Lonchura striata: one gene and its partners. The protein of the gene in region 1 interacts with the protein of each later gene in a biochemical or structural test. Links are inferred from orthologs where the notes say so. Each region holds a gene or a part of one and is shown in the gene's direction. Other genes may lie near its edges.

What was found.
Region 2: the proteins of PARP1 (region 1) and ERG form a complex in vitro, tested with the Homo sapiens proteins (2 studies listed by BioGRID and IntAct). The link is inferred for Lonchura striata from reciprocal best matches to the Homo sapiens genes PARP1 and ERG.
Region 3: of the proteins of PARP1 (region 1) and CHFR, one has a biochemical effect on the other in vitro, tested with the Homo sapiens proteins (2 studies listed by BioGRID). The link is inferred for Lonchura striata from reciprocal best matches to the Homo sapiens genes PARP1 and CHFR.
Region 4: the proteins of PARP1 (region 1) and APLF form a complex in vitro, tested with the Homo sapiens proteins (3 studies listed by BioGRID and IntAct, with this or other methods). The link is inferred for Lonchura striata from reciprocal best matches to the Homo sapiens genes PARP1 and APLF.

Annotation. Positions count from the first base shown.
Region 1 is NC_134605.1:17,698,414-17,706,399, reverse strand, and holds the start of PARP1 (poly [ADP-ribose] polymerase 1), read left to right. Parts: upstream 1-4,973; 5' UTR 4,974-5,016; coding exon 5,017-5,136; intron 5,137-7,986. UniProt on the Homo sapiens protein: Poly-ADP-ribosyltransferase that mediates poly-ADP-ribosylation of proteins and plays a key role in DNA repair.
Region 2 is NC_134604.1:114,219,164-114,227,154, forward strand, and holds the start of ERG (transcriptional regulator ERG), read left to right. Parts: upstream 1-4,986; 5' UTR 4,987-5,097; coding exon 5,098-5,115; intron 5,116-7,991. UniProt on the Homo sapiens protein: Transcriptional regulator. May participate in transcriptional regulation through the recruitment of SETDB1 histone methyltransferase and subsequent modification of local chromatin structure.
Region 3 is NC_134620.1:8,516,183-8,524,045, reverse strand, and holds the start of CHFR (E3 ubiquitin-protein ligase CHFR), read left to right. Parts: upstream 1-4,856; 5' UTR 4,857-4,956; intron 4,957-5,293; 5' UTR 5,294-5,305; coding exon 5,306-5,441; intron 5,442-7,424; coding exon 7,425-7,524; intron 7,525-7,863. UniProt on the Homo sapiens protein: E3 ubiquitin-protein ligase that functions in the antephase checkpoint by actively delaying passage into mitosis in response to microtubule poisons.
Region 4 is NC_134605.1:3,027,583-3,034,557, forward strand, and holds the start of APLF (aprataxin and PNK-like factor), read left to right. Parts: upstream 1-3,960; 5' UTR 3,961-4,076; intron 4,077-6,159; 5' UTR 6,160-6,209; coding exon 6,210-6,308; intron 6,309-6,953; coding exon 6,954-6,975. Other genes in the region: FBXO48 (F-box only protein 48), read right to left, coding at 1,171-1,332, 2,955-3,206. UniProt on the Homo sapiens protein: Histone chaperone involved in single-strand and double-strand DNA break repair.

The DNA of each region.
Region 1 (7,986 bases):
TTTATTCATTTTCAAGGACCCAAACTGGAACCATATGCAGACTCTCTAGCTGGTATCTTGTGATGCCCAATATGTATTTTGGCAGCTCTTCTGGGCCAGAAGATACCCAGACTGATGGCACAGGTAGGGAAGGTATCTGCCCCAGGGATGAGGCCATCTGCCCTGGGGTGCTCTAGTCAGGAGTCACAGCTTGGCTTCGAGCCTATGTGGAGACAACATGTATTTGGGATTACAACTTCAGATGAGGAAGCTGCCATCCTTAATTAAACTCATCCATAAGGTTGTAGCTTGGGATTGGCACATACAGATCTCTGAGCATGAACTTTCCAAATCTCTCTCCTTGTTTCTGCTCTTGAACATTTTCAGTGCTGCAGCTGGTGCCTCCTTCCAGGAGCAGAGCCTTTTACAAGTGGCATCCACACAGGCAGGATGATTAACAGCCCCACTGCACTACAAAGGGGAAAGATGATGCTTGGGAACACAGGTGGGAGAACAAGCTAACAGGCAGCATTGACACAAAAAAGGTAGCCAGGTAGCCCTTGAGGGAGTTTGCCATCATTTCTCACAAACTCTGCCAAAGGCTGACTGTGGCTGTGGGATTAGCTCAAGGTTTTGGAGACTCTGCTTTTCCCTTGGGTGTGATTTTTCATTCTTGTTGGCAGATAGCAGAAATCAAGAATGGACCACAGCTGCCCATGGCAGGTGCTCCTCTCTCTCCAGCTCACTGGGCTGAGCATTTCAAGTGAAGGACCCATGGTGAGACTGAAGATCATCTCTTCCCCAAGTTATGTCTCCTCACTGTCATCATAAATTAGGTATGGACTTTATCTCCAAAGCTCACTCTTTTATGTCCCTTTTAGCATTTGCAATTAAGAAAACTCTAAACAATTCCTTTCAGCATTACTTTGCCACAACATCTGCCTTTGGCTGTAGGCTCTAGTTTAATTAACTTGCCATGAGAACAAATCTCCTTTTACCCTTTTTTTAATTTCCCACTCTCTAATTTCATTGCATAATGATTTGTGTCTCAGTTGCCACATGGGGACAGTAAAACAGGGATAATGGCCTTTCCTGTGTGGGGATAATGTCAGGGTGAACAACCTCAAAGCCTGGCAAGCACCCAGGTACTAACTGTGGCAAGTACTGTGGCTGCACTTGGCTCTGCCACTGGCTTTGGAATATTATCTTCCCTAGACTCAGGATATGTAGTCACACCACTGAATTTACTGAAAGAAAGCTACTCAGTCATGTTCCCCGGCAGTCTGAAATGCTGTTGCTCCTCCTCCCTTGTCTCTTCCTACATCTACTTTCCTGGGCATCTGGAAAGCTGAAAAAGCAGGTTTATTTAAGGGACCTTTCTAAAGAACAGAGGAACCACCAGAGCTGCTTCACACAGACCTCTGTGCTGGTCTGTAGTGCAAAATTATTTAGGGGGACTGAGAAGGAGGCCAGCTCTGGGCACCTCTGCCCAGCAGGAGCACTCTAAATTCTAAATAAATTCTAAATAAAGCCAAAGAGATTGCATATGTTAATGATCACCCAGGAGAGAGGAACCATGGGAAGTTATTGAGCTATTCAAAACATATTTTAGATCCCCCAGACAGAACAATAAGCCCTCTGATTTATTCCATGGAAAGAAAAGACAGTAAGATGCTCAGTTAGATGGGGGTGCACGATCTCACATCCCTTTCCCACTGGTGTAGTCTCAGGGATGCCAGTGGGATGATCACTTGCATGAGCAAGAAGGCACAGCTGAGCCACAGCAGTGGCTGCCTGTAGCCTCCTGCATGGATGCAAACAGGGTCATCCCAGCCACACTGATTATGTGCAGTGGCATGAAAAAGTGGGTCATCAACACAGACAGGATAACCTAGCACTGAAGGGTGTTTTGTTACAAAACTCTCAAGCTATCAGATATCAAAACCAGATAATACAAAGTCTCCTGTAGCAACAAATCCAGGCTTGAGCAAGAACAGTTCTGACGCCCCTACAGGCTGTAAGTGATCGTCTTCCCTGTATATGTCCAACATTTTCTCACCCTTTGTAAGATGCTTAGCAGGGTGGAAATCTTGCAGGGAGATATCTCAAGCATGTGTGAGAAATGGAGCCCAAAGCAAGACAGTCTGGAAGATTCAGTGCTCAGGTTTCTGTCAGCACAATCTGAGGGGAAGCATTTGGTCCTGTGACACTGAAGAGATCAACTTATGTCTTCCTGGTGCCAGAATTTGACCTACTTCCCTCTGCCTTTCAGAGGAATCTAATGCAAAATTGCCCAGAAAAGAAAATGTAATTCTTTGTGGTGCCTTGAAGTCGCAAGCCAGGCACCTGAATGCTTGACACTGAATTTCACAGTCTGAGACACTCAAAATTGCCATAGCTGGGGTTTCTTGGACCATTCTTTTCTTCTTTACTGTTTCTGTGTGCTTTGCCTCTGGAGAACAGAAATTGCTGTTCTCCAGGGGCATTCTAGAGGTGAGATTGCAGAAACAGAAGCATTAAGAAAATTCCAAATAGCCTGACATTTATGATGAAGCCTGCACAGCAGACCTTTTGATTACACCCCCTTCCTCACCTACGCTCCTGTCCACAGCACAGTGAGCTGTGGGAGCCCAGGGGCATGTGTGAGATTTGGGCTGGATACTGGGAAATGCTGATCTGCAAGCACCAGCAGCCAGTTTGGCATCTGAGTGTCAGTATATGGAGATAATCAAAACACCTCTGAGGATAACCATGAGTTCTACTTTGGTCACAGAGAGGAAAAACAAATTGGTCTCACACATTGGTGCAGAACTCGTCATCCAACAGGATCCCAGAAGTAATCAGTCCACTGAGATGGGAATATTGTTAGAAAGGAATGTGAGGGATCACAAAGTTCTTTCTCTCTGGTAAAATGCAGCAGCTAAATATGAGGGCTCTGGAAAAACTGGATTTACTTAAAGGGATTATGATTCCCCAGAAAAGTGGCCTTGCAGATGCCACTTCTCTCAGCTTCTGCCAAAGCATTCCCTGTTTTACAAAACTTGGTATCCTCTGTGCTGTTTGTGTTAGCACTGACTCACTGGTCCCCCACGGCCCTGGGAGAGTGGAAGGGATGTCCTGTGATCCACATGTCACACTTGGGAAGACAGAGAGCAAGGCAGCTCTGTTGAGATCAATAGATTTATGGGACTAACATGATTTGGCAACTCTTGACACCACACATCAGGATGACACTTAGCCTACAGAGGAAATTACACCGCCATAAGAAGAACCATAACAATGTAATTCCTGCTATTTAGACGTTCCTGTTTCAAAGCAACACACTGGTTGTGGCCAGACAAACTACTGTGGAATTCTCAAGTAAGGCTGAAAGGTTAAGTGCCCGGAGCTTTGAGCCTGATCCTTTCAAGCAGAACCACCTACCCCTTTCAAAAAAGAAAATCCACTAAACCCCATTTGGAGTAGTGCTAATGTAGTATGTGCTCATAACTGGAAAAAAAACAAGGTTAAGCTTAGAACAGCCATTTGTTACAGTCACTTTCTTTGCTTGTTTTTATGCTTGCAAGCCTGTGAATGTCTGTGTACTGCTCTTCATGACATCTTACAGATCCTCTGCAAGTGTCTAGGCTGCCAGTTGCAGAGCAGCATTTTAGTGTTTGGACGGGGCTCCCTTTCTTAGGAGTGAAAGCCACCATGTCATCCAGATGAACTCTCCTGCGTTTTCTCCCCACTTTTCCGCAGGGTGGGACCAAACTGATCTGTCTCTGAACCACTGGTGTCTGGGCCAGGAACTCCTGGAAGGAGTGATCAGCAAGAGCGAAGATTCTGCTGTGTGGAGCACCCGGCTGTCTGTGTGCTCGCAGCACCATCTAGTGCGTCGCAGGGATTCCTTTTCGTCCTTCCCCAAATCCGCAGTGATGTACCAGGACCCAGCCTGTCCTCCCGGGCACGCCGATAGCCCCAGGCTGGTGGGGGGCTCGCACTGAAGTCAAACCCTGCGCAGCACACGTGTGAGAGCCTGGAGAAGGACAGCACAGGATACAAGGTGTGTCAGCATCTCAGGCTTGCTGAGATGCTGGTGTGCAGCTCTGAGTGACACCTGCAGGCTGCCTGAAGCCCACCCAGGGCTGCACATGCTGCTTCAGTTGAACCCTAATTTCAGAATCTCTATAAGATTAATGACAAATACTTGGGTTTGGAGTAACTTCAGTGTTCTCCTCTACCTTCCTCCAGGGAGGCTGCAGAGCTAATGCCCTCTGCTGATAGTAGAGGATAATTATCTACTGTGAGTAGGAAAAAAAAAAATCCTGATTTAATTTGTCAAAGCACTCTTCTTTGATTTCGTCAGCAGCCCCACTGTTATCCCCAGGGGCTGGAGGAAACAGTGACAGAACTGTCACGGTTGGAAGGGACCTTTGGAGATCACCAGTCCAGCCCCACGCCCAGGCAGGGTCACCGGGAGCAGGTGACACAGCAGCGGGTCCGGGGGGTTTTGGCTCTCTGCAGAGAAGAACTCCACGGCCCCCTGCGCGGCTGTTCCGGTGCTCTGTCACCCTCATGTACAGCCCTCCTTGCTCATGGCGGGGGGAGATTCTCGTGTTTACGGCCATCGCTCCTCGTCCTGTCGCTGGGCACCACCGGAACGCCCGCCTGGAAACGGCATCACGAGGCCAGTATTTGTCTGCGGGAGAGCTGCTGAGCTCAGGCTCCCCAAGAGGCGGGAGCCCGCTCGGTGTCGCTCGGGCGCGGGTGGGGGCGCGGGGTGGCGGCGCGGCCCGAACCCGCGGCCTCGAGGGCGCAGCACGGGACGCGCCGCCGCGCCCGCCTCCCATTGATACACCGGAGGAACCTCCAGACACGCGCAATCGATGCCCGAGAGGACGATCCGCCCGGTTGGTGAGGCATGGTACGGGCTCGGCGCTCGGCTGGCGCTGCCGCGGGCGGGGTCGCGGCGGGCGCGCGGGGCGGGGTCGCGGCGGGCGCGCGGCGCGGCGCGGCGCGGGGCGGGGCGCGGCGGCGGGAGCGGGAGCGGCGGCGATGGCGGAGCCGGCGGAGAAGCTGTACCGGGCCGAGTATGCCAAGAGCGGCCGCGCCTCCTGCAAGAAGTGCGGCGAGAGCATCGCCAAGGACTCGCTGCGCCTGGCGCTCATGGTGCAGGTACCGCGTGGCGGGGCCGCCGCGGGAGGGGGGCGGGCTGATCCGGCCGATCCGCTGGGTACCGCCGGCGGCGGGGCCAGCGCGGGATTCCGCTCCCTCCGCCCGCCGCGGTATCCCGGAGCCGCTCGGCCGCGCCTTTCGCTGCTGCGGGGGCGAGCGCAGCCTATTTTTAACAGAGGCGCAGCGTGTCCGCAGCAGCGCCGGTGCCCGGGGCAGCCCTGCCCGCAGCGCTCCCGGGCGGGGGGAGCCGCTTCCCCCGCTCCCGCGGGCTGCAGTGGCGGCTGAGCCGAAGCGGTGCAAAGGTCACCGTTCGTGGCCGTGGCGGGGCCGGGGGGCGGCCCGCGGGCGCGCACAGAGGCGCTTTGTTGCCGTCCGGGGGCGAGCCGAGCTCCGCGGCTCGGCTTTTCTCCGAGGAAAGCCCCGGGAAGCGTCTGCGGCTCGCAGCGCTCGGTGTCGGCGCCGGGGAATCCCCGCTCGGTGCGCGCTTTGCCTACGAGACAGAGGAACTGCGGCCCGGCAGCTGTGAGAGGTGTGGGGCAGCCCCCGGGGCCGCAGCATCAGCGGCCGGGCCCGGGGCTCTCGCTGGGCTGGCTGGCACATGGCAGGCGTGAGACCGCTGACCGCAATTGGCGAACGGGCTGCGGAGGCACTGTTTGCTCTCCGCCGCCCGCATGCTATTATTTGCCTTTTGGGGAAGAGACTGCTCGGCTTACTTTTGGAAGGAAGGGAAGAGCCCTGTCCTGTTGGGGGCTGGGAGCTGTGCGCGGACCCGGCATCACAGCCTGCTGCGGGAGGATGCGGAGGGAATCGCCCTCCGCACGGGAGGCTCACGCCGCTGTCCGGGGAGGGGGGACTCTGTCCCGGTGGCTGCATCAGGGCAGAGGGGAGGGTGCGCCTGCAGCGTGCTGGGGGCGGGCTGAGTTAGGGGGTGTTGCTGTGAAAGGTTAGCAAAGGCATACTTGTGTGCCTGCAGAAGGCGAGCAAGGACGTGGCAGCGCAAAGCCCTGCGGATGGAGGGATGGGTGGGTGGATGGATGGATGCTGTGGCTCCCGGCCGCCCGAGGAGCCGGGTTTGGAGGATGTAGCTCGCTTGTGCCTCTGGGAGAGGCTCCGCTTGTACGGGGCGGGGAGGAAGGGCCCGGTCCCTCCTCGCCCGCGCTGCCGGGCGGGGCTGGCAGGTCTGTCGGGGTTGGAGGCAAAGCTGCTGTCCCGGAGGGGAAATACCTGCCTCTGCCTTTGTTCCCCAGATCCTCCTCCCCTTGGGGAAGATGCGGGACCGTGCGGTGCCAAGCTGCAGCGTTTGCTCGCACGTGGTCCTGCTGCCTGTCCTTTTGTCTCCCCCGCTGCACTCAGCCTGGAGCTGCTCCTCCTCCCCTGCTCCGGCTGCTGCTCCTCGGCTTCCTCACGTTTGTTACTCCTTCCTGTCTTGCCCAGCAGTTGAGGCTGATGCGAGGCGGGTTGCCCTTCACCAGTACGGGGGGCAGGAGTTGTGTTCTGGTTCTCTAGGGTTCGGTTTATGGAGTGAGCCCCTGGGGACCGACATTCCTCACAGAGCCACTGCCTTTCATTTCCAGACATATCCCTAAAACTGGCGGTCTTGCACCAAACATTTGTATTTTTATTTATTTTCCCCATAACCTCTTGAATTTGCTTGCTCTTCCCTCTGCCCGTTCTTGTACCAGCAGATCACATCCTGCTGCTGAGCATCCTGCTGTAAATGCCTGAATTTCACCAGAGCAAACGGGTCCCCTGCTTTTTCCTCGGGAAATCCCCTGCAGAGCAGCCTCTGTGCCAGCGTCAGTGCATTGAGCTCTTCTGCAAATTGTGCTGAAGAAATTAAAGAGAGATACAGACCAAAGCCTTAGTTGTGTCTGCTGTAACTTCCCTTTTGTTTTGGTTCCTCAAGTGAAGAGCTGTGAATGACAGTGGGATTCTGGGTGCTAGGCAGGCGCCCAGGCCCTGCAGGACCAGCACAGCTTTGTCTTTTGCTTCCAGCTGGAACTGAGTGGTTTCTGTTATCTGAAAGTGCACTATGAAAGTGAATCGGTCTCTTTTTTCCTTAGTTTGTTTAGGAAACTATGGTCTAGAGATAGGTGAGCTGAGAGATGTAGTTTAAACAAGGCCCAGCTTGCCTAGAGGTTTCATTTTCCACACAGAGAAGAGTCTGAAACTCCATGTTGAGGAGATTACTCACTGCTTGTATTGTTGTCTTAAAGATTGAGCTAGCTCTGCTCACTTTTGTTCTCATCAGTGCCTTGTGCCCTCAAAGCCTTTGTGCTGGGAACAGCCCTGAGTCCTCCTGCAAAACTCTAGACAAAACCCAGAGGTGTCCACATTGCAGTGCCAAAATCACATGTGACAACTTAGAGAGACATTGAGAGCGACTGCAGGGTGGCTGCTGTGGTGCTGTGAGGGTAACTGGGTATCCAGTCCTGGCTTGTGGGAAGAGCCCATCTGGAAATAAAAATGTCCTCTTACAGTTTGGGTAGATGGTTGGTTGTAGTTTGGGCTCTCAGCTCTCCTGGCTCCATGCTGTGGTCTTCAAAGCCCTTTCCTTTTCCTTCCTCCTCATGCACAAAGCTCTGCTGTTGTTTTTGGGTTGGAGATCTCCTTCCTGTTAGTGAGTGACACGTGGAAGGCTTTCCTAGGTGGTTAGTTCTGTATCATCAGTAATAGTAATTGTACAGCACTGAGTATTGTCAGTACAGCAGCTGTTTGTGTGTGTTATTTGGCGCCAAACCACTGTACGGTTATTTTGCCTGGTGGGTAACTGGAGCAATGCCAAGATGGTACCTGCTGTGTCTGAGTTTTAAACACGTTGGGTACTTGCAAAACAAGTGCTTGGTGTGG
Region 2 (7,991 bases), on another chromosome or scaffold:
CTCTCATGTTTTCAGTTCTGCCGGTGAGTGAATTCATTGTGAGAGGAGGGAAGGTGAGGACGGGGGAAAAGTCATGGAGGGATTGATGGTCCACATGGTTTGGAGCAGTTAAAGGGAAGCAAAAGTGGGAATGCACTAAGGACAACCAGCCCTGAGCACAGGGTGCAGAGTGATGGGGGGTGCCAGGGCAGCAGGAAAAAAATCCTTTTTTAAAGCATTTTCTTTACTGAAAGACATCAGTGCTGACTTGGGAAAGAGCTGTTCGTTGCCTGGAGTGGAGGATGCTCCTTTCAGGGGCAGGGAGCACCATCTAGTGACCACAGGGCTGCCCACAGGGCAGGGAACAGGGAAAGGCATGGGGACATTCCCTGCCCCTCCTCTGTGCTGCCAGGGAGGGAATGGAGAGGCACAAAAGCTTGGGAGCAGTGCCAGAGGAGATTTTTTTGTGGGATGCAAGTCGTGTCATCCCCGTGATCAGGTAGTGATAATTATTTTAATGATGTGCCTTTATGGGCTGGTGATGTCCACGTGGTGTTTGGATTTTGGGGAATTCAAGTGCCTTCCTCCTGGAGCTGACCTCCATCCCAGAGCTTGATCCCTTTTTTCCCAGGATGGAATTTTCCCAGGATCCTGCAGCCCCATACTGGAATTCCTTTCTCTCTTGGGCACACATTTGTTTCACTGTTAAAACTCTGATTGTGAGACTTTTCTTTGTGGTGAGAGGAGATTTTACCCCTCTGTGAGCAGATTCACTGATATTTTCATCAGAGCCCATGGAAAACTGGGAATTAAAGGGAGACAACCTGGCTGAAGAGTGTACTTGACCTTCACACAGCAAACTGGGCAGGGCCAAACTGATGTTGGGAGCTTTATTTGAGCAAAATGCTGATTTTTTTTGAGAGGATTGAGACCTTTACATGTGTCTTCATGTGCCATGAAGTACCAGTAATTTGCTTGGACTTCTTAAAATCTGCTTCCAAAAGCTGCAGTGCAAATTCTTTTATTCTGCCTTCAGTTTTCTGCTTTGTAGACTGGTTATACCTTGAGGAGAGTGTTCTTTTCTTTTTACGTGGAAGGTTGGTGAGAGGAACAAAACTCTTTTTTTTTTCTCTGCTGTCTTGTCTTTTAATACCCTCATCTGCAGACACGGTATGTACCATACCAAGCACAACATAAAGGTGAATGTGTCTCCAGTTTTCCAACTATTTACCCGAAGATTTTTGTACAGTTCAAGGGATGAAGGTCACCTTATTACCACAGCAGAGTGTGTTAGCCCAGAGCAGAGTTCTTGCTTTACCTCCCAGCAAGAAGGATTGCAGATCTATTTACACAGGGAATATTGCAATGTATTTCCTTCATATTTCATGGAATCCTGGAATGGTTTGGATTGGAAGGGATCTTAAAGATCTTGTAATTTCAACTCCCTGCTGTGGGCAGTGACACCTCCCACTGTCCCAGACTGCTCCAAGCCCCAGTGTCCAGCCTGGCCTTGGGCACTGCCAGGGATCCAGGGGAATCTGGGAATTCCATCCCAGCCCCTGCCCACCCTGCCAGGGAACAATTCCTAATTCCCAACATCCCATCTAAACCTGCTCTCAGTTTGAAGCCATTCTCTGTTTCCTGTCACTCCATGCCTTTGTGACAAGTCACTCATCTGAACCCATGTAAAATGCATTTTACGTGTTTAGGTGAGTACACACATAGTGAGCATATTTCTAGTACATCCTAGAAAGGATGCAACAAGCAAAGCAGCTTTTCTATTTGGAGTTCCATCTTCTTCATTTAGAACTCTGTCTGATTTTTTTTTTTTTTTTTTGCATGATCAAACCAAATCTTCAGGTCTGTCCAGGGCCCTGTTGGTTTAAGCAGGCTCAGATCAGCATAGATTGGATCCTTCCTTGAAAAGATCTTGCACTTAAGAGGGAACTCTTGAGTCCTAAAGGTAGAAAACACTTCAAGCAGAGTTTAAGGGTGTTCAGGAAAGAGTTTAAGCACAGCTGTAACTCTAAAGTATGTGCAACTGCCCTGCTTTGATCAAGACACTTAAGCACATGTTCAGTGTTAACACATGTTGGGAAATTTTGCTGCTCCATGGTTTCCAGGTGCAGGCTGAAGGTAGGACAATATTCCAGCTCAAAGGAGGCAGGACAAATTAGGGTGACAAGCTTCAGAGAGAAATTTGAGGGGAGCATTGGGTGATTTGTGTGGATTTTTTTTCCTGTTTTTGTTCTGTTTGATGACCAAGTTTTTCAAACTCACAGAGCGTTGTTTCAGACAATAATACAGAGTTGCCTAACAAAACAAAAGCATTTTTTCTTTCTATTTAACCTTAAAAAAATCAGAAAAGATAAAAATTATGGAAGTGTTTGTTCTCTTTTTTCTCTTGCAACTGGATGATGGTGATTTGATAACCCAATATTTTCCTTGCCTCACAGTACCAAGGCTCTGCTTGCAATTGGATCAGCCTCAGCGTAAGCACTCAGAAATCTGCCTGTGGGTATTAGTTTGAAAGTCAAATAAACTGCACTGGATTCTTTGGCACAAAATGTGTGCCAGATTAAAATGGCAAAATCCTTACTGGGCCGTGGGCTCTGTAATACTTATATAATAATAATAGAGCTCAGCGGTGCTCCTTATGCTTCCAAAATCCTTGTGTAAACCAAGAGGAGGTTTGTGTAAATGGAGGTGGGATGGAGAAGAATCATTACTAAAAACTGCTTGTGGATGAATTTGTTAGATCCTCTCCACTGGGGAGCTGGAACTGATACTTGCAACCTCTTGATATATTGGAGGAAAAGCCCAAAATATCAGGGGCTTAACTGGAGTGGAAGTCACCCAACTGAAACATTATACAATGCTTTGAAATTTCAAGAGAAAGGTTCTAATCTTTTGGCTGTCTTGCTCATTGTTTGGAGATGAAAAGGGAGGAAATCAACATCCCCATGAAATACAATTACTATAAATTGCTTTCTTTTCATACTGTTCATAATGAAAATAGGAAAGTTACCTACTCTGCAGGAGCGCCATAATTTGGTGGATATAGACTGCAAGAGCACATTCAGCAGTGCAACACTGCATTTCTACATGAACCAGCTAGTGGAGAATATAAAATATTGTATAGCAGTGCTGCCTCCAGATTGCTCTGAAGCCACGAAAAATAATCTTTACAGTGGAAGAATCCAGAGCTTCTTGAAGTGAACTCTAAAATCAAACTGATCTTGTGCAGGGAGTTGATCCCGTGTCCCAAAGATTGGATTTGACCATCTTGGAGCTTTTTCCCACCTTGGTGATTCTGTTTGTCACTGCTGCATCCAGGGATTCCCAGCTCTGTGCTCCCCACGGGACACCTGGAAATGGGAATTTTCTGGATCTGGCAGGGCTGTTCCCACGAGCAGGGAGGGTGGATGAGCCTTTGCTCTGCCCTGCTTTGGGGGAGATGGAGCAGCACCTGCAGGACAAATGAGTGAAGGACTCTTTGTGCACCTCCGGAAAAATGCATTTCACCTTTCTTGGCTCAGGATAGGAGGGGAAAAGTGAACTGGGACTTTCTGCTGTCTTTGTGTAGAAAAACTGTGTGTTGAATGCCAGCAGTCACCACCAGCTACAGAACAACGCTCCCATTTCCTTTTTTTTTTCCTAAGAAGCAAGAAAAGGCAGTGTTGGGAGAGGGTGAGGTCATCTGCTTCCACTAAATAATGCTGCAATGAGCCATTCACTATTTCTTGTTCTTTTTATTGTACCAGAGTCCCTGGTCAGAGGTCAGGACCTTACTACAACTGGAATTATCTTCCAGGCAACCTGTCCATGGTTAGGTGTTGTCACAGGGAGCAATGAGAAATTATAAACCTGTTAGAGTAGGACCAGCTTTATAAAGTTGTTTTTTAAAAAGTGAATGAATTCTGACTTGCTCTAATTTTTCCTCCCTTTTTTATGGGTTCTATTTTCAAGCTTTTCTCTTCAGGCTGAAAGCTCAGAATCTCCTGACACCAGGAATTGTATCTTTTATGAAAACATAAAAATCTGTGAGGCTCCTAAGTGTGAAAAGGTTGTGCCAGCACTGAATCCTCAGTGGAATACCCTGGCTGGTACTGTGGAAGCACTTTGCCTTTCTTACATATATTTTTTTTTAAAGTTCTGGTCTCTTATACAAAAGCCTAGGACAGGGACAGTGTTTTTTCTGCACACCTGGAAATTTTGGGGTGCCCCACGACTGCCAAGGGCTCCAAAAGAACAAATAAAAATATAACATTGAATAAAAAATAGTCATCACACTCTAAGCAGGAAGGGAATTGCCAGTGAAACCATCTCATTTCCATTCATGGATAGAGCTGTGAATTAAGGGAAGAACATGGAAGATTTAGGACTGCTTATGTCATTCAGGCATCTGCTTTTGAAGTTTTATGTCATTTTGTGACTTCCTCTCCTCACTAAGAAAGAGACATCAAAAAGAAATTATTGTCCCCAACCTATCTGCTTCTTCTCTAAGGGAAAAAATGTGCTAAATCAGATAGGCTGGAAAGTGTCAATAGCTCAGGAATGCAGGAATGAGGTTCATGGACAAATATAGATGTGGAGTAAGCAGGGCCAGTCCTCATTAACATATTTGGAGTTACACCCATTTTTACCCAGCCTGGCTTTGGCCCTGGATCAGCAATTCCCCAGTGAACAGCCTGCATCAAACCACTGCTGAATTTGGCCCATTTCATCTGACATCTGCATCCTGCCTCGAAGTGGCCTGTCACACTTACTGCACATCAGATCACACCTGCCCAGGCGGCCACGGGCAATTGACTTTTTTGTTTAAAAAAACACCAAAAAAACAACCAAAAAATTAAAAAAAAAAAAATTCAGTCGCATATCATCAAGAAAAACAACATTGTTTTAGGACTCTTATCTCTTCACTCCCAAATATCCTGTTTCTTCGAGCTGCGGTGGCCAGGACCAATAGAAACCTCTTCCTGCCATTGGCTGACTTCATTTCCCAGAGTTAGCACAATCTCATCCGCTCTAAACAACCTCATCAAAACTTCTTTCTGGTCAGAGCGAAGCAATAATTATTATTAGCAATTATTAGCGATCAATAATCTTGATCACATTATGGCAAGCACTATTAAGGTAAGGAGGGGGTACCTTTTTTTGCTGGAATTTTTTTCTCACTGCCGCGTTCTTTGGTTTCCTTTATCAACCTAGATAAGTTAGAATTGGGCAACACCCCCACTGCCACAATAGAGGACAACAAGATTTCCTTTGTACTGCCTAGTAAATTTCCTTTTTCCTACTCCAACCATCCGCAAGGCTTAAAAACTTCAAACTCGGAAAAAAATTGGGTTTTTTAAATTCACTCTTCAGTGGTGTGGATTGCATAGACGAAGCCCTTTTGTGAGAGCTTCTGAAATTTCTTGTAGGTATCCCTCGGACAACTTGGATGTGTTTGTGCTCTGCCATGAGGGGAGAGGGTGTGCACTGGAAGGAAAAACCGGGCTCCTAAGGGCACTAAATTTTGGATACTTTGAAATGTTTCTCTTGCGGATGGGGACACAAATGGGAAGGAGAGGCACCAGCTCTTGTTTCTCTCTCTCTCACGCAGGTGTTAATTATGTGCTTTTCTAGAAACTCGTATCCTTAAACTCGGGACCTTTCTGAATGTTATTTTAATGGTGGTGGGAAGATCTCACGGGCGTGTTCTTTTTAATCTTTTAATTTTTTGGACAATAAAAATCTCTTCTTGGTGCATAACGTTGATCTCGGTGCATGGTTTGTTGGCTTTGGGTTTTTTGGGGTTTTTTTTAAGAATGGCTTTGTTGAGTTTTTTGTGGCTGTGTCACTTATAAGGTTGAATAAATCTGTCTATCTACGTTTTGTTTCTCTGGACAGCATCTGCCAATAGGGCAATGACTGTGATTAATTGCAGAATGTAACGGTAATTAAGCGATTTGTGATAGTGAAACTAATTTTACATAAAGAGCACGGACAGGGAGGACTCTGCGGTGTTGTTTTATCAGATTTGGGATCAAGGTATTATCGGATTTAGGACTGAGGTATTTGCTTTCTTCGTGGCATTGTGTGTTTCTGCACTTTTCTAATTATGTCAGAGATTTAATGAGGGGTATGGAATAGCCTGGCTGTTGGATAAGTAGGGCTGCAGTTGGATTTTTCAGTAAACTTGGCTCCAGTGTTTACATTTTAAAGATCATTTGGTGCATTTTGTTACAGTTTTGGGAATCTGACAGTAGTGCCCGAGGGCAGTGTGATTAAAAAGTCGAATGAACCTTTTGTTTTTGTAATCACTGATGTTTTCATGGGGCTATCAATAGTGACATAGATCTGACTCTCCTCTGCATTGCTGGCCAGCATCTGCTAAATGCTAAGTAGCTCCTGAAACTGAATTCCCTTTGGTTTTGCCGTGCATTTCAGAGCATGCAGGACATGACAGGCACTTAATGAAAATCTTGAGTTTCAGGGAGTCAAATTTTGGCTTAAAGGAGGGCTGTGTGCTGAGGTTTTCATAATGAAAACCTCATTTGCTTCTGTTAATCAGAATATTGATACAAGATTTATTTTCAAAAATAATGGCACCCACAAGATCGGATGCCGTTTGCATTTTAGGTAACTCCTGCTATTTATTTCCTTTATGTTTCATATTGACTGAATTTTAATAGACTAGAAGATTGTTAAATTAGATCTAATTGTTGTTATTTGACCTCCTCCTTACACTTAGAGAAGTGTTTTATACCGCCTGGTAATACAATGTACTCAGCAAAATGGAAAAATTCTCTCTCCTAATCTGGAGTGTGAATCTTGCAGGAGGTCCCAGACAAACCAAAATGTTGAGGATTTCACTGCCCAGGCTGCTGGGAAAGGCCTTACATGCTGTAGCAAGAATTAAAATTTTATTTATGCAAGTGCAAAATGTGAAATGACTGGAAAGAAATGACAGGTGCTTTGTACTCGAGGTGCAGGAAATGTGCTCTGACATGAGGCTGAGTCGGTTCAAAGATTTTCAATTCCTCTTCTATGGGGAGTGGATAAAAAAGCCTTTTAACTGAAGGGTTTCTGAAATAAAGACCCTCCATTTGAAGGCCAGGCAGGTGTGTGTTTAGCTTTTGCTAAAGTGTTACACATCATATATATATTTAATTATATAAGTATTTAATATAAAGGCTTGTGTCTCTCATCCTTTGCCTCTCAGCACCCTGCAGCAGACCCGTGGGACACTGGGGCTCAGCAGGGACCTGGCTGGGTTCACTGGGGTCAGGGCAGGCAAACCCTGCTCTCAGTTTTTGGGTGCTCTCAGTTTTTGGGTGCTCTCAGTTTTCAGGTGCTGTCATTTTTTGGGTGCTCTCAGTTTTTTGGGTGCTGGGTTTGGCATCCTGAGCAGGGTTTTCCCATGGGATCACTCTCTCCTCACCCCGTGCCCTCCTCCTGCTGCCCCCTGCTCCTTTTTCCCTGGAAAGGGGAAAGAACCATGGTCCTAAAGAGAAGGAGGAGGAAGAGGAGGATGAGGCAGCAGCACCTTTTCCCCAAGCTCAGACATGGATAAATAATATTAATCCTGACTTCCCCACTGGACCAGCCTTGCCCAGGCCAGGGATCTCTCCCTTGGATGGGGAGAGGTCAGTGCAAGAAGCTGTGGAGAGGAAGGTGGTGCAAGAAGGTGCCTGCCCAGCCAGGATTTTGGGTTGATATTTCATATCCCAATACCTGGAGCACACTCAACTGAGCTCTCTGTTAGGTATTTTTGGTATTTTTAAGGATGAAACATGATTTTTCAAGTGGAAAAAGACCCCTTAGAGTGAAGATTTCAGTGCTGACAGGTTCCCCTCTGGCTCAGGTGGTGTCTGACAGCTCTGTGGTGGCACAGCAGCACAGAGCATTGAACATTATCAAATAAATGCAATTATTTATATTTATTAGTCACACTAATTACTGTAAATATAATTTTAGAACATACCTGAATTAGGCATCAGTCTTTTGTTTGTGTTTTGCCTTTT
Region 3 (7,863 bases), on another chromosome or scaffold:
TTCAGTAATATTTCTGTGGGAAGCAGAATGTCTTGACTGTGTGATTATTTTAGCTGCTGTGTAGATAAAAGAAAAACATGAGCAGTGAAATGTTGAAAAGGTTTTGATATTATTATATGACTTCTCAACAATTTTCTTTTTTTTTTTTTTCCTTGCTCCTTTGACTGGAAATAGTGATTAGATCAATTTCCCTAAGAGTAAAGCAGTTGCCTGTTCAAGGCATAGTTTCTGTTTTAAGTGACAGATTTCTCTTTTCCGAGCCAGTGAAACTTCTCCTCTGCTCTAATGACATTTACAACCATCCTACTCATTGCTGACATTCCCTGCAGACCTATTGAAAACCTGATGACACTCCTGACCATGTTTTCTCCAGCTTTTCTGTGTCATTTTAGTTCTTGTGTCCAGGTTTCTGTCCTTATTCATAACACACACAGCTGCCACTGCATTTTTTACTTCTTCCTTCCCCAAGGTCTCTTTTTTTCAAAGGCTGAGATGGATGCATTTCTCCACTCAGCCACTCTTAAAGCTCTTTTCTGAGGGATGTAGCCTACCTGAACTCGGCAGAACATGTGTGTGACCTTAATTGTAGGAGCAGTCAGCAGTTTCTGACTTCAGGAGAGTTTTGTAAGTAAACAGCTGAAAAATTTCACTCTGGACACTGGAGCCTTTGGCTCAGACTGGAGGGGTGCATCACTCACAAGGCACTTTGAAATGTGCAGGATGGACGCTTCTCTCCTTGGTGTGGATAACTCACACATTTTTATTTTCCAGTGGTGTTAATCTGGCACCCCCTGGAGGATGCATATTTCAAAACACTCAAAGGAAAGAAATACTTAAAAAACCCCCTTTGATGCAATCAGTTCTGCATCCAGACTGTAAATTTTCCCAATTTTCTATGGATTCTTTGCAGAAATACTAATGTAATTTTTCTGTAGGTAGGCTTTCATCCTGAGATAATATATACAATTTTTCTTCCTTAGACTAAACATGTCAATCTAAGATTTACTGATGAAGTGCTGGAGGATTTCTCAAACTTCATGAATTATGTGATCAAAAAGAAAACTTGGACTGTCACCTATAAATGACAAGAAGAACCATTAAAAAGGTCCGTGTGAATCTGGTACAAGAAAAGTGAGAGTAAGTGTATGTCCATATGCTTGTGGCTAGTGTGGGCTCCTGTCAGGTAAGATGGGGGAGGACTTTACTGTAGGGCTGAGCCTGGATCTGCAAAAAACCCCAAACCCATGTCTTGGAAAACCTAAGGCTATCAGGAATAGTTCCATTTATCAAATCAAGTGGAATTGGTTTCTTTATTAGACAGAAGAGACCATCTTCTGGGACTTGCAAGCTGCCTACAGAGTTTGATGTTTGGAAACTAAAAAGTGCCAAAGGCAAGAATTTGAACTGCTTTCCCCCAACAGCCTGGGGAGAAAAAGGGAGTAAATAATGCCAAAAGATGTATTTGTATTGCTTTAAATTCCATTTGAATGTAACAAAATAGTTGTTAGCAATTTCTAAGTGTCAATAAGGTTTGTTTTAAATATTATTATTATTATTATTATTACTACTACTATTACTATTACTATTACTATTACTATTACTATTACTATTACTATTACTATTACTATTACTATTACTATTATTATCTCTCTTTGGGAAATACCTGGCTGCATTTACAGAGTGATTTCAAAGACAACTGGGAGTGTTGTTGATCAGTGAAGCTCACTGGGGAAGTGTGAACAACAGTTGCATTATTTTTGATCTCTGTTTACCAGTTGGGCACAGAGCAGCCTCTCCTCATTGCTCCTTCTCCCCCAGCAACAAAGCTCAGCCATGGTCCCTGCAGAGAGGATCTTCTCCCTGGGAACTGCATTGTTTCATTAGCTCCCCTGTGCATGATTTTGGTGTGTTGGTTTTGTTTGCTTTCCTCTTAATTTCCCAGGGAGTCCTTCCTTTGACTTATTGCTGCTTAACTTTGTAATTAATGAGTAATTCCATACTGGTTTTCCCCACTCTGAAAGTGTCCTAAACACTAGGAGTGGTCAGTAATGGATGTCTAGAAAAGGACATAAGTGGCACTTTTCTTTCCTTTTCATGTGATGTCTCTGGCTGCCTTCCTGTCTCTACCACATAATAAGGAAGAAATCTGAGGCTGGTTGCCTGACTAGGAAAACCCCTCATGTTGTCCAAGTTGCTTTTTCCTGATCTGATATTAATAATTTGATATTGCTTTCTCCAGAAGTGAAAAAAAAAAAAAAAAAAAAATTGAGGAGAAAATTAAATAGCACCAGTTTTTCTGAATGTTATCTACTGGGTGATAGAGAGCTTCAAACATTAATGCAATACAAATGCATTTGAACATTTACAATAGGATTTGAGTAGCTGCCTTCAGGTCCTTTTCAACTGAACTCATTTTTATATTGTACTTCATAAGGATGGCCTAAATTTCTTTTGCTAGAACTAGTATCAGAGGTGACAGTTTCTAGCTTGTACCCCTCCATCCACGATGGGGTATTTTCAAACTGCTGGTTTGTGTATCACTACTTGTGGGGAAAAAAGAAGTAATATTTATAGCTTCTTTTTCTGCTGGTATATGTATACCTACACAGTTCAGAGCCTGAAAACTAATTCCATCTAGAATGAGCTTGAATAAAGCTAGGAACAAAGAGGAGGGGGAGGTATATTGCTAAACAAACATTAACTGAGGGAACAGATGGGAAAGGTGATCTCTAGAAAGAGATCCTCTCCATTTTGCCCAGCTTTGGAGGGTGACAAGTACAAAATGGGGCTGTTGAGAGATGGATTACTTGGAATGTGGGATAAAACTACCCTGAGCTGGGAGAGAAATGTGGTGATTGTACATGGAGAGCAGTTACAGCAGTCAACTGCACACAGCAGATCAGTACATCTCTAATTATTATTTGTCTGGCTGGCTAAGCAGTGCAGCATTTAAAACCTAATTTGTTGTATAATTTAATTTTAATTGAGTCTCCTATCCACACAGGACTCGTTAAGCTAGCTGTATGTTTCACTTGCTGTCTTTTTACATGGATACTATGGGAGAGCTGCAGGAGCTGAACCAATCGTGTCCTCGCTCTGTGCTATCGCCGAGGTGCAGTAATTCCTTGCTATGATTGCAGAGGGATCTCTTGGCAGGAATATTTGGAAAATACGTTTTCTCAGTGCCACAATATAACAAAACAACTTCCTCTCTCAGCTAATGCTACAGTTTACACAAAAGATTTGGTCGTTGGGTTGTTAGTTGCATCTCCCATGTGCTGGTATTTTCCTCTGCCACTCAGAGATAACAATTACCAGTCACTGTGAGCAGTAATAAAAATGAAGCACCATGACAATGCTTTTGAGTGATTGTAACTTCCATTGATGTGCTTCTCTTCAAATGTATAAATGGCTTTATTCCTCAGCGAGGACAATGTTGAAAGCAAGCAGGGTTTTACAGACAAATCCTTTTGGAGGAATGTAGACATTCAGGTCTCAAAGAACTATTTTTTCATACTATTATTACTAAGGGAAGAGTTATAGACTAAGGTCAGTAACACAAAGCTCTTAAGTACATTCATCAATTTTGACTCGTGTTCTTATATATTTTTCTCACCTGGGGCTCATGTGATTGGGACTGTGGAACAATACTGTGTTGGGTATCAGTTAAAACTGCAGATCCAAACACGGCTTGGATCTGCAGTTTTTAAATAATTTTGCTTCTATCAGTGGTCCTGTCCAGATGTTTTGCACAGGCTGGTGTTACTGTGAGGTTTCTGTGGCCGAGGGGATCTGCAGGGCTTCCAGGAAAGGTAAAAAAGCAAAATCTGAGAGCTCAAGCCTGTGAACCAAGTGAGAGTATCAAGACCAAGAACTGCAAGTGGGTTTGTTTTTTAATGTTTTATTTCCATATTTTTTGTCTTCTCACTTAATTCAAACTTCAAAATAATTTAAGTGAAGGGGGAAAAAGGAGTCACTGCCTTTGTATAATTTAAGAAGTAGGGACATTCAGGATAGTTCAGCTTCTTGCTCTTGTTTTGATGAACATAAAACTGTTTGAAGTCCTTCAGATGAATAAGATAAAGAGATCTGTCACTAGAAGGATGCTGCGCAAAAGGACCACAATTCATTTGGCTAGAAAGCCACTTTATACGGGGTGCTAATTGGCGTAAAAAAACCCATGGTGCACGTGGTACAAATGTCCCAGGAAACAGAAATGAAAGCGGTATAAACGAGCGGATCAACAAGTGCACAGCAGGGACACTGTTTTACACAAAGGACCACCAAATGGAGGACATGGAAACGAGGTGTCCGATGCGATAACAGAGACAAGTGATAAGTCTCAAGGTTCGGGAAGCTCTTGTCCCGATAATGCCGGGGTTTACTTTGTAAGAGTCTCCTGAGTGAAACTGGGGGTGCCCCTCCGTGCGTGACCCCTCCACCAGCGGACACCGATCCTGCCTCAGTCCGAGCTGGCTTTTTTAAAGCCTGGCCCTAGAACAGCAGGGTGTGTTCTTTATTTAGCCGCTGCTGCTTGCTCAACAGCCAAGAGTTAAACTACGACAATTTTTCAGGGGATCCAGAGACCGCTGAAACGACCTCAGCTGGCCCCCGGCACGCACGGTCGCGGTGAGGCGACGGATTTGCCCGTAACAAAGATGGCGTCGCGCAGCCTGTCCCGCCAACACCCAGCATGCCTGCCCACACACAAGATGGCCGCCAAGGCGTCACCGCCGCCTCAGCCCCTCCACAGCCCGGGTTTTCCCTACGGGCGGCGCGCGGCGCGGCCTCACCGGAAGCGGCGGCGCTCCGGCCGGCGCGGCGCGGCTCGGTGGCGGGCGGCGGAAGGGCCGCCCCGCGCGGCGCGCCGGCCAATGGGCGCGCGGGCCCGCCCCGGCCGCACCAGCTGGAGGGGCGATGTCTGTTGACAGGAGCCGCCCGGGCCGCGGCGCTGCGGTGAGGGGCCGGGCCGGGCCGGGCAGCGGGGCCGCCGCACCCCGGCCCCGCCGGCCGCGCCAGGGAAGGCAGCGGACGATGGCGGCTCCCCGCTGTCTCCCCCGCTCGGTCCGCTCGGGCGGGGAGAGGCGCGGGGAAGGGGCCGGGCTGGCTGCGGGGGGCCGAGGCGCAGGGAGGGAGGGAGGGTTTGCGGCGCCGCACAAAAGGGAGCGGCGGGGCCGGGGCAGCCGCGGGCATGCGGGAGGGATGCGGGGTAGCGGGGGTGCCGGGCAGCGCTGTGCCGGCCCGGGTGCCGTGTGGTGACGGGGTTTGCGCTCGCTTTGTTTGTTTGTGTCAGATGTGAATCCAAATGGAGCGGTCGGAAGGAGGCGAGCAGAGCCAGCAGCAGCCGCAGCCCTGGGGGAAGCTGATCCGGCTGGGTGCCGATGAGGCGGAGCCGCACGTCCTGCTGCTGAAAAGAGAATGGACCATTGGGCGCAAGAAAGGTGGGACGGGGACGCGCTGCGCTGGCCTGGGGCGGTGCTCGGGGGACAGCGGCCATCCCCCTGCTGGCCTTTACAGCTTGGAAGCGGACTGAAACTAGTTGGGTTTGACTGAAACTAGTTGGGTTTGGTGCTTTCAGCTGTTGGAGGTGCTTGCCAGGCCCCCCGCCCCCTATTCCCAATTTACCTCTTAGCTGTGTGAATATGTAGTTTTATGCTGACCTTTTGTTTTCAGTAACTTGTGGCACGTTTCGAAGTCAGTGTCCCTTTTAGGTAGTCTGTGGCAGTTTGTATAAATAAGGAAACCCCCACCCCCTATTCCCAATTTACCTCTTAGCTGTGTGAATATGTAGTTTTATGCTGACCTTTTGTTTTCAGTAACTTGTGGCACGTTTCGAAGTCAGTGTCCCTTTTAGGTAGTCTGTGGCAGCTTGTATAAATAAGGAAACCCGGTTGTTGATTCAGAAGTTTCTGTGTTTCAGGTTTGTTTGTGTTCTAGTTTCATTTCTGTGGTTAAAATAAATTGGAAATGCAATGCAAAATGCTTCGGCTTCACAGAGAAGAAAACACCCACATAAAAGCCCTTAATTCTTCTGGCCATATAAAGACTGCCAACAAGTACTGAAAGTTCTCTGAGAGTCGATTTGAAAGCTTTTTTCCCAGAGTCTAGGACTTGTACTACTTCCCTTTATTTTAAAGGATTTCATGCTCACTGTATTTGAAAGAAGGACTGAAGTTTTTAAACTTCCTTTTATGCTGCCTTGACAGTGCTGATTTTCTTTTTCCTGTTTGTCAGTTCAAGCTGTTTGGCTGATCAGTCACTTCCTGTAAATAGCTGTGAACAAACACCAGATGCTATAGCTCTATGACAAAGGCAGACAGTGTCTTGCAGGAAAAATGTTTTGCAAATTTACAGTTGGTGGTATCTATTGAGATTGCTTATCATTTATCTGTGGGTAAATTCTTCAAGCTGACGTCTGTTTGAGGGTTGTCTGGCAGAAAATAAAAGGTGAAATCTTTCTTGTTTAGTTGCTTTCATAGCTGTTTGCTAATGGCTTAGTTGAATGGATGGTTACTAGAATACCAAATTGTGATTTATAAGCAATATGAGGTAGTGCCTGCTGCTTTCCTGCTGGATCTGTTGTTGAGATCAGTTCACCCACAGTGTGAATAGGTAGAGGGGAATCATGATTGTTAGTTATAACTTTGGTGTAAGCTAGTGCTTTGAGTCCTTTGTGAGAGATCAGTGGAGAACCTTGAGTGTTGCTTTAAATATTCAATGTTAAAGTGAGGTAAAAAGACAAGATTTTCTCAGAGCCCTTGAGTTGTAGGTAGGAAGGTTTTTATTGCATTGTCATTACACTTCTCCTGTGTATCCCTAAATCTTAGTCCTGGATTTGTAATTCTCTTCAGCTTTATTAACATAATAATGTCAAGAGAGATGAGGAAAACTTTCCTGTTTAAAAAACAAACAAATGACTGTAAGATAGAACAGTGATAATAATTTTTACATATTTTTCTTTTAACAATTATTGGTTCCTACCACTTCCCCCCAATACACCAGAATAGAACAGAAGTTAAATTCAATGAAACAGCATTACTATGATGTGGGAAAAGAGCTGAGTGCTGTGGCATGTGCCTTTAGGAGTTAAATTGAGCACTTCAGATATGTGTGGATATTTCTGTAGCGCTCTAGAAAAGAGTTATTGTGATTTGATTTCCATCTTTGAGGGCTAGGACTGGGGGGAAAAAGGAATTGAAACATCTTCACATGGTTGAAATGGTTATATCAGCACATGGGGCTATCTCACCACTTGTATTTATGTGTTTCACACTGGGCTGTGTTGCTGCCTGTGTGACAGCAGAAGTTTTGAACTATTGCAGATGTACATGAGTCAGTTTATGTTGCATTTATAGCCATGTAGAATGCTGATCTGACTGTGTAATGTGTATTTTTAAGCTTGCTGGAAAATCTTTCTTTTTAAGGCTGTGACTTATCTTTCCCTGGCAACAAGTTGGTGTCTGGAGATCACTGTAAAATCATAGTGGATGAAGAGTCTGGTCAAGTGTCATTGGAAGACACAAGGTTGGTTTCTCAGAATGTTTTTGGAGGTACTGTTGTCAAAAGCTCAGCAGGTATTTAATACTAACCCTGAGATACCATAATAGCATATTTAATTGCCTTCTGGGTTGAAACAGGGATTCGACATGATATCCTTCAAAACCTCAAATGCGAAACTTTCCTCTTTATCTTTGTATATCATGGGCACATTCTGCTGACCTGCCAAAGTGCCCCTGATGGCAGCTCTGCCCCCGCTTTGTTGTCATCTGCAAATGTCATTAGGTGTATTCCCTCTCCTCTTCAGGTTGTAATTAAAGATAGGTCCAGGATATCCAGGATAGACTCCTGCAGGGTTTACACTCC
Region 4 (6,975 bases), about 15 Mb from region 1:
AGACAAATACATGAGAATTTACAGCAGAAGAGCATGAGAGGAGCAGGAATAGGGGATAAATGTCAGGGAGTTACAGACTGGAGGTAACAGTGAAGGCTGGATGAGAAAGGTGAGGGACCAGATCCATTATTGTGCAGTTTCCCTATGTTATGATTAAAAAACGGGGCAGTTTTGAGGTGAAGAGAATGTACTGCTAGAAATGTTTTCTTCTTTATTAACTTAGATGCACTTTTTACACTTTATACTCTCTTCAATCAGGGTAAAACATTCTGTGAGCAGGGAGTGAAGCAGTACCCTCAATGTGCTTGGGTGTGCCTTTTTCTGCTGGTTTTATTTTTTCTTTAATTTGCACTAACAATCTTGCAGCAGAACAGCTAACAATAGCAGAAGCAGTGTTTGCAATTGATCTTTTTGCTACATCCTCTGTATTTAGGAATGCTCTTTACTCTGAGTTACACTTGTTGGAGGTTAGGATTTTTCTTTTTTTTTTGTTTCCCTTTTTCTCTCAAGGATTTTTCTCCCGTCTATTGCCTAAAAAATTATAATAATGGTACTTAAGAGAGACAAAACATGTAGCCAAGGGGGAGGGGGTGCACTCTTATAGGTGAGGAGTTTTTTTCCTTTGAAAGGGGGAGATTTTAGTGAGGGGCTGGGCTCAGCTCCTCGTTCTCTCGTTTTTGGCTTGGAGGGGAACGAGCATTGCTGCCCAGAGGATTCTTTCCAGTGTCTGGATTTGCCCCTTCCCCAGCCTACTTCTGTAAGCTCTCATGTGCTGCTGATACAATACATTTCATATCAAAAGGTCAAACACACCTTAGGGTGGGTTTTTTTTTTTGTTTTTTTTTTTTTTTTGTTTTTTTTTTATAATATAAAAATCATCTCTTCCAAAACAAAAAGTGCAAACTGAAACGATAATCAGCATATTTTTGACAGTGCAGTAGAACATTAAATTTATAAATATAAATTACAACTGAAGATTTAGTTGCCTTTAGAATTTTGCATAAAATTAATACAGTAAAATGCAAATTAAAAAAAAGACACCCGTAACTTTCTTTTGGAGAAGTTTTCATCATAAATTCATAATCAGTTCAAAATCAGTTTCACAACTGCTGAACGGTGTGACTGCTATTGGCAAAAGTTTTCTGAGTTGCAAGAATCAGCACTGGTTTATCATCTCTCAAGTTCTGCTTCCAAGATTTCTCCCCACGTGTCGACATCCATTGGATACATGCTTTTGTCTGGCAAACTGAATTGAGAAGGAATGTTGCTGTATTTCCCACTTAGCCATTCTTGCTTCACTTTGCTTTTCCAGTAGTTTCTCAACAGTGTAATCTGGTGGAAAAACATAGAGACAGATCTCAGAAAGGAACCAATTTAAAATGCAATCAATATTGCAAGATTATACTAGAAGAATAGTGCTGGAAAAGGGATTTGTAATGTGCCTTTGGGATTTGGAATGTGCCTTTGGATATCTAGACCTTAAGCCCAGGAAGGTGCAATGCTGCCGAGAAGCAGAACATGTTCCACTTCCAACTTTTCTGTTCCTGCCTCAATTCTTTAGTGGTCAAGATGAAAACCCAAACCAGGAATTCCTCTTACTCCTTAAAAAAGGCACCTTTCACTTTCTGTTTAGGTTGTGACCTTTCTTTGGTTTGGAGGCCGGCTGGGTTCTTTTCTTCTGCCAGCCTTTAAGGGCAAGAAAATGTAGACTGGGTGTGTTTGTAGATTGTATTTCAAATCCCCTCCAGATAAAACTGACAATCAGCACAGGGAGTTCTGAAAATTGCTGTGCTAGGGTAGCAAGATCTGTACACTGAAAGGGTAACCACTATCTGCTCATGGCTCTGCCTCATACTGCAGAAAATTTATTGAAATGTCAGAATCCAGTGGCTGCTTTTGTTTCTTTTGCGGCTGCTTCTCTCTTTTCACCCCTCAAACACACCAGCTTAAATAAGGTGGGAGATTACCCTATAGCTGGCCCAGAGTAACCTGTGGAACCAGTGACCTGGTCTACCTGATCAGGTTCTGATCTATCTCAGCTTCCAGGCTGGATTCATCAGTGAGAGATCATCCAGCAGGTTCTGAAGCTGCACCTGCTGCAAACTCCTCAGAGCAGTCTGCATCTGGGGCGATTTTCTAAAAAGTTTATAAAAACTCCTGCTCATTTCTGTTGCTATAGGACACGAGAAAGTACAACATGAGCCACTGCGATGGCAAGGTAAAAAAGAAGGTTTATTTTCTGACTCCAACTTTTATACTTTTTTAAAGGTGACAGTGGATTGGAGAGTGAATGGGCCACCTCTCCAAAGACATTGGACAAACTACTAGTATGTCAACTTCCTCTACTCTCACGAAGGAATGTAAAAGAATATGTTGTTTATAGAAAATGTGTGGGAAAGTTTTCTAACAGAATGTAAACTCAGAAGGCTTTAGAAAATTTTAAGAATCAGGGTGACACATTTCCTTTTCTAGTCCCTTTTTTTTTTTTTTTTTTTTTTCTTTTTTTTTTTTTTTCCTGAATGCGTCTCACTTGAGATGCATTGAGACAGCGCTATCCAGGATGCTTTTTCAGGAAGTCTTTCCTAACCAGCAGAAAATACAAAAGACAGAAAATACAACCAGAGAGCAGACGCTGCCTATCGGAGTTGAGTCCATTCTCCCTGCCTGCGGGAATGTGGCCTTTGCCCCGTGAAAGACGACTAATGCGAGGCGGGCAGGCTGTATCCCGGGTGGGAAAAGGGCCAGCCTTGCTTTATTCCCAGTATATTCATTCCCAGCTGTCCGCCTGCCGGGATGCGCTCCGGGATGCGCTCCGAGCCACGCTGCGCGCATCCCCCGCCACCACCCCGGGACGGGCGCGACAGGCTTGATGTCACTTCCTTGCACTTTTCCATTGGCCCTGGGCATCCTCGCCCGTGTCGCTGCCGGCGTGGGGCGGCCGGAGGCGTTCTTACCTTCCAGGAGTAGCCGTGCCCGCGGTCGCAGTCGATCTCCCGCTGGCAGACGGCGCGCACGGCCAGGCAGTGCTGCCGCCACAGCCGCTCGCTGCCCTCGATGAGGCGGTGCCAGCCCTTGCACGCCACGGAGGCGCGGCACAGGCTCTCCACGTCCAGCCCGCTGAAAATCCGGCAGCTGATCTCGGGAGGAAGGGCAGACACCAAGTCGCCCGCTCCTCCTCTTCCCCCCTCGGCGCTGCCGCGGTCCATCCCCGCGGCGGCGAGGCGTCACTGCGGCCCCTCCGAGCGCGGGCGGCCGCCGCCGGCAGCGCCGTGTGCCAGCCGCCCGCCTGCCGCCATGTCCCGGGGCGGGCGGGCCCGCGGGGCGCTGCCCCCGGCCCGAGGCTCCGCGCGTTCGGCTCCGCGGAGGCGGCGCCGCCGGGCGGCCCGGGGAACCGCGCGTCACGGGGCGGCCGCGCGTCATCAGCCGGCGGCGGCTCCCGCGGGGCTCGGCGGCGGCTCGGTGCCCGTCCCGGCGGGGCTCGGCGGCGGCTCGGTGTCCGTCCCGGTGGGGCTCGGCGGCGGCTCCGTGCCCGTCCCGGTGGTTCCCGCGGGGCTCGGCGGCGGCTCCGCGCCCGTCCCGGTGGCTCCTGTAGGGCTCGACAGCGGCTCCGTGCCCGTCCCGGTGGTTCCTGTGGGGCTCGGCAGCAGCTCCGTGCCCGTCCCGGCGGTTCCCGCGGGGCTCGGCGGCGGCTCCGTGCCCGTCCCGGCGGTCCCTGCCGCCCTCGGCAGCATCTCCGTGCCCGTCCCGGCGGGGCTCGGCAGCACCTCCGGCCCCATCCCGGCGGTTCCCGTGGGGCTCGGCAGCGGCTCCGGCCCCGTCTCGGTAGCTCCTGCGAAGCTCGGCGGCGGCTCCGTGCCCGTCCCGGCGGGGCTCGGCAGCACCTCCGTGCCTGTCCCGGCGGTTCCCGCGGGGCTCGGCAGCAGCTCCGTGCCCGTCCCGCTGGTCCCTGCCACCCTCGGCAGCAGCTCCGTGCCCGTCCCTGCCACCCTCGGCAGCAGCTCCGTGCCCGTCCCGCTGGTCCCTGCCACCCTCGGCAGCAGCTCCGTGCCCGTCCCGGCGGCTCCGGCAGCCTGGAGGTGAGGCCGGCCCGGCCCCGCTCAGGGGTTCCGAGGGCACCGCTGGAGCCCCGAGGCGGCTCCGGCGCGGGTGGAAGGGGCAGGGAGAGCTCGGCTCCAGCAGCGGGGATGTTTGGGAGTGGAGCATCTCTCGTGGGAGGAAAGGCTGGGGGAGCTGGGCCTGATCAGCTTCGGAAAGAGACAGCTGAGAGTGGACCTCATTCATCAGTATAAGTGTCTAAAAGTGCCAAAAGAATGGACCGGGCTGTGCCCACCGGTGCAGAACTATGGGACAGGAGGCAGTGGGCAGATACTGATGCACAGAAGTTCCACCTGGCTATAAGGAAGAACTTCTTTACTGTGCAGTGGCTGCACGTGGAACAGATTGCCCAGAGAGGCTGAGGAGTGGGAATATCTCTCAGTGGGATACTCCAGAACCATCTGGATGCCATCCCGTGCCATGTGTTCTGGGATTACCCTTCTTGAGCAGGGAGCTGGGGCTGGATGTCCCGCTGTGGTTCTGCTGAACCTCGCCCATCCTGGAGCTTTGTGAGACCCTGCAGAGCTGGAGGAATAAGGCAGAGCTCAGCCTTTGGTGCTTCTCTTCTCAGGGTGACAAAGAGAAAGTTCAGCTGGTCAGTGTGTGCTCTCTGCAGTACAGCAAGTTCTGGAAGGGTTGGTGTCAGAACTCAAAATGTCCCTCAGACATTTCAGGAGGTTCCAGGACCAGGTCAGAAGCATTTGAGACCCTGGCAGGCAGCTGCAAACAGCTGTGATTTTGGGTTTGAGCTGTGGAACAGTTTACCAGCCTGGCAGGAAGAACAAGAAGTCACAAAAGTTTAGATATTAGAGTAGAAGTAGTTACAAAGTAGAGGGAAGAATTTTTGCGTGCTGTACAGGGGGGTTTCTGTTTTGTACATGGGGGTCAGAGGTTTTAAGATGGAGGGATTTGGGCCTGCCCTGTCCTCCCTCTTTCTTCTTCCTTACCTCCATGTTCTTGGTGATGTTGGCACTCACAGATTGGTTTAGAGTAGAAAAGCACCATTTAATACAGGTAATAGGCATTGGGGAAAACTGTGAACATGTAACATGTAATGTACCATATAAAAGATAGAATATCACCATTTAATATAGGTAATAGGCATTGGGGAAGAACTGTAAACATGTAACACGTAATGTCCCATATAAAAGACAGCAGCAGCCCTGGGTGGGAGAGAAGAAGCAGTCGGGAGTCAGAGAGGATGTCAGGGTGTGTGTGTGCCTCTGCCTGAGCTGTGAGCAAACCACAGCAGCCCAAGGAGAAAATCTTTTAGATAACTTGCAATAAACTACCATGAGACCAAACAACAAGAAACTGCTGAGCCTCTCTTTGGAAGCACGGGTTGGAGGAGAAGATTTTTTCACCACACAAAGCCACCCCGTGACTTAGGGTGGTCTTCAGCAGGTTGGCAGAGACACCCCAGTGCTTCTCTGCAGGCAATACTGCACCAATTAGACTCGTTTTCCCCTGATCTTTTGTGCTGGTGCATTGAGTAGTGTAAGGGCAACGTGTTGAAAGAAAAACAGTTACAGTTTGGGTGTGCTTTCATAACCTAAAAAGCTTTTTAGACGTAGTGGCTCTGAACTGAGGCTTTTGAGACTAGCACCGGTGTATCTAGTGTCTCCTCGATAGCCTGTATGGAGAACTTGCTTGATTCATTGGGCATCTGGTCCTGAAATCCTAAAATCGTTGCCTGACTTTTAGGATTGGATCAGATTTTGGGGAGTTGTGAAGATTTACCATAAAGCAAATTCTGAGATGCAGTTTCAGCTTTCTCAAAGTTTTGTCATGGCAGCAACCAGTGTAAATTATGTACTTAAACCCCAAAACACCACAGTCGTGGTCGGCAGTTATTAGAGAGTCTTTTGGTCAAAACTTTAGGTGTGAGGTAAAAGGAAGGTGCATTTATTTCCTCTGTAAGCTGATGCTAAGAGGATGTTGATGGTCAGTTTCAAACTGCATTTGTTAATGGCAAACATTCAGACCAACTTTTGTGTTTGAGTCAAAAGTGCATGTTTATATTTGCAGCGTGTGAGTAGATAAAATCGTTTTTTGTTTTGTCAGAAAAAAATCAGGAGGCTGATGCAGAAGCACCAACTGTTCATGCTGTTGAGATGTCCTGTATTCCATTGTTAATGGAACCAGCATGTTCCAGCTCTGAGGTAGAGGGAGCCGCAAAAATGAGGAATAATGATGCTGCCTCCAGATTTTTGGTGGGTGTTTAAGTTTTTAATGAAGTTTAATATTTGTAAGCATGTGTTGGAAGTTAAGGAGGTGTTATGTTCTCTATACAAATGAAATGTCAGCCTTTGTTGTGGTTGCGATCCTGGGGGTGGACTTGCTCAGGAAATCCAAAAGGATAGTGTTGTTTTCAGTAAATAATGAATGTGACTCAGAGATTTAGAATCTGATTACTTTCTGGAGAAATAAATTGTAGCAATGCAAAAAAGACTTTTATGTTTGCAGGTTTTTGCCTTTTTTTTTCTTGGACAAATAGGCTTTTGTTAAACTTGCTCTTTCTGTTTTATATATGTAGGGAAACTAGAGCAAGGTGGTGGTAAAGCTCTTCTATGAATCCTTCAGTTTGTAGCCTTTTAGATATTTATTCCAAATATCTAAGAATATTCTGTTTTATTTTCTTTTGTTTTTACTGCACAAAGTTTCCTATAAATGTTGTTTTTCTGAGTGGATGGAAACTGCAAAAAAAAAGTAAAATACTTGAGCAATGGCCACCATACAAAAAGTAGGTTGTTACCCAGGCTGCTTTTGGAGGACATAACTGAGTGCAAACTGTGGTCTGGCTTCCCCCCACTCTTCTGTAACTGGATAAAGGCACTAAACAGTAAATGTTCTTTCAGGTTCCTCTGTCTGACGATAATG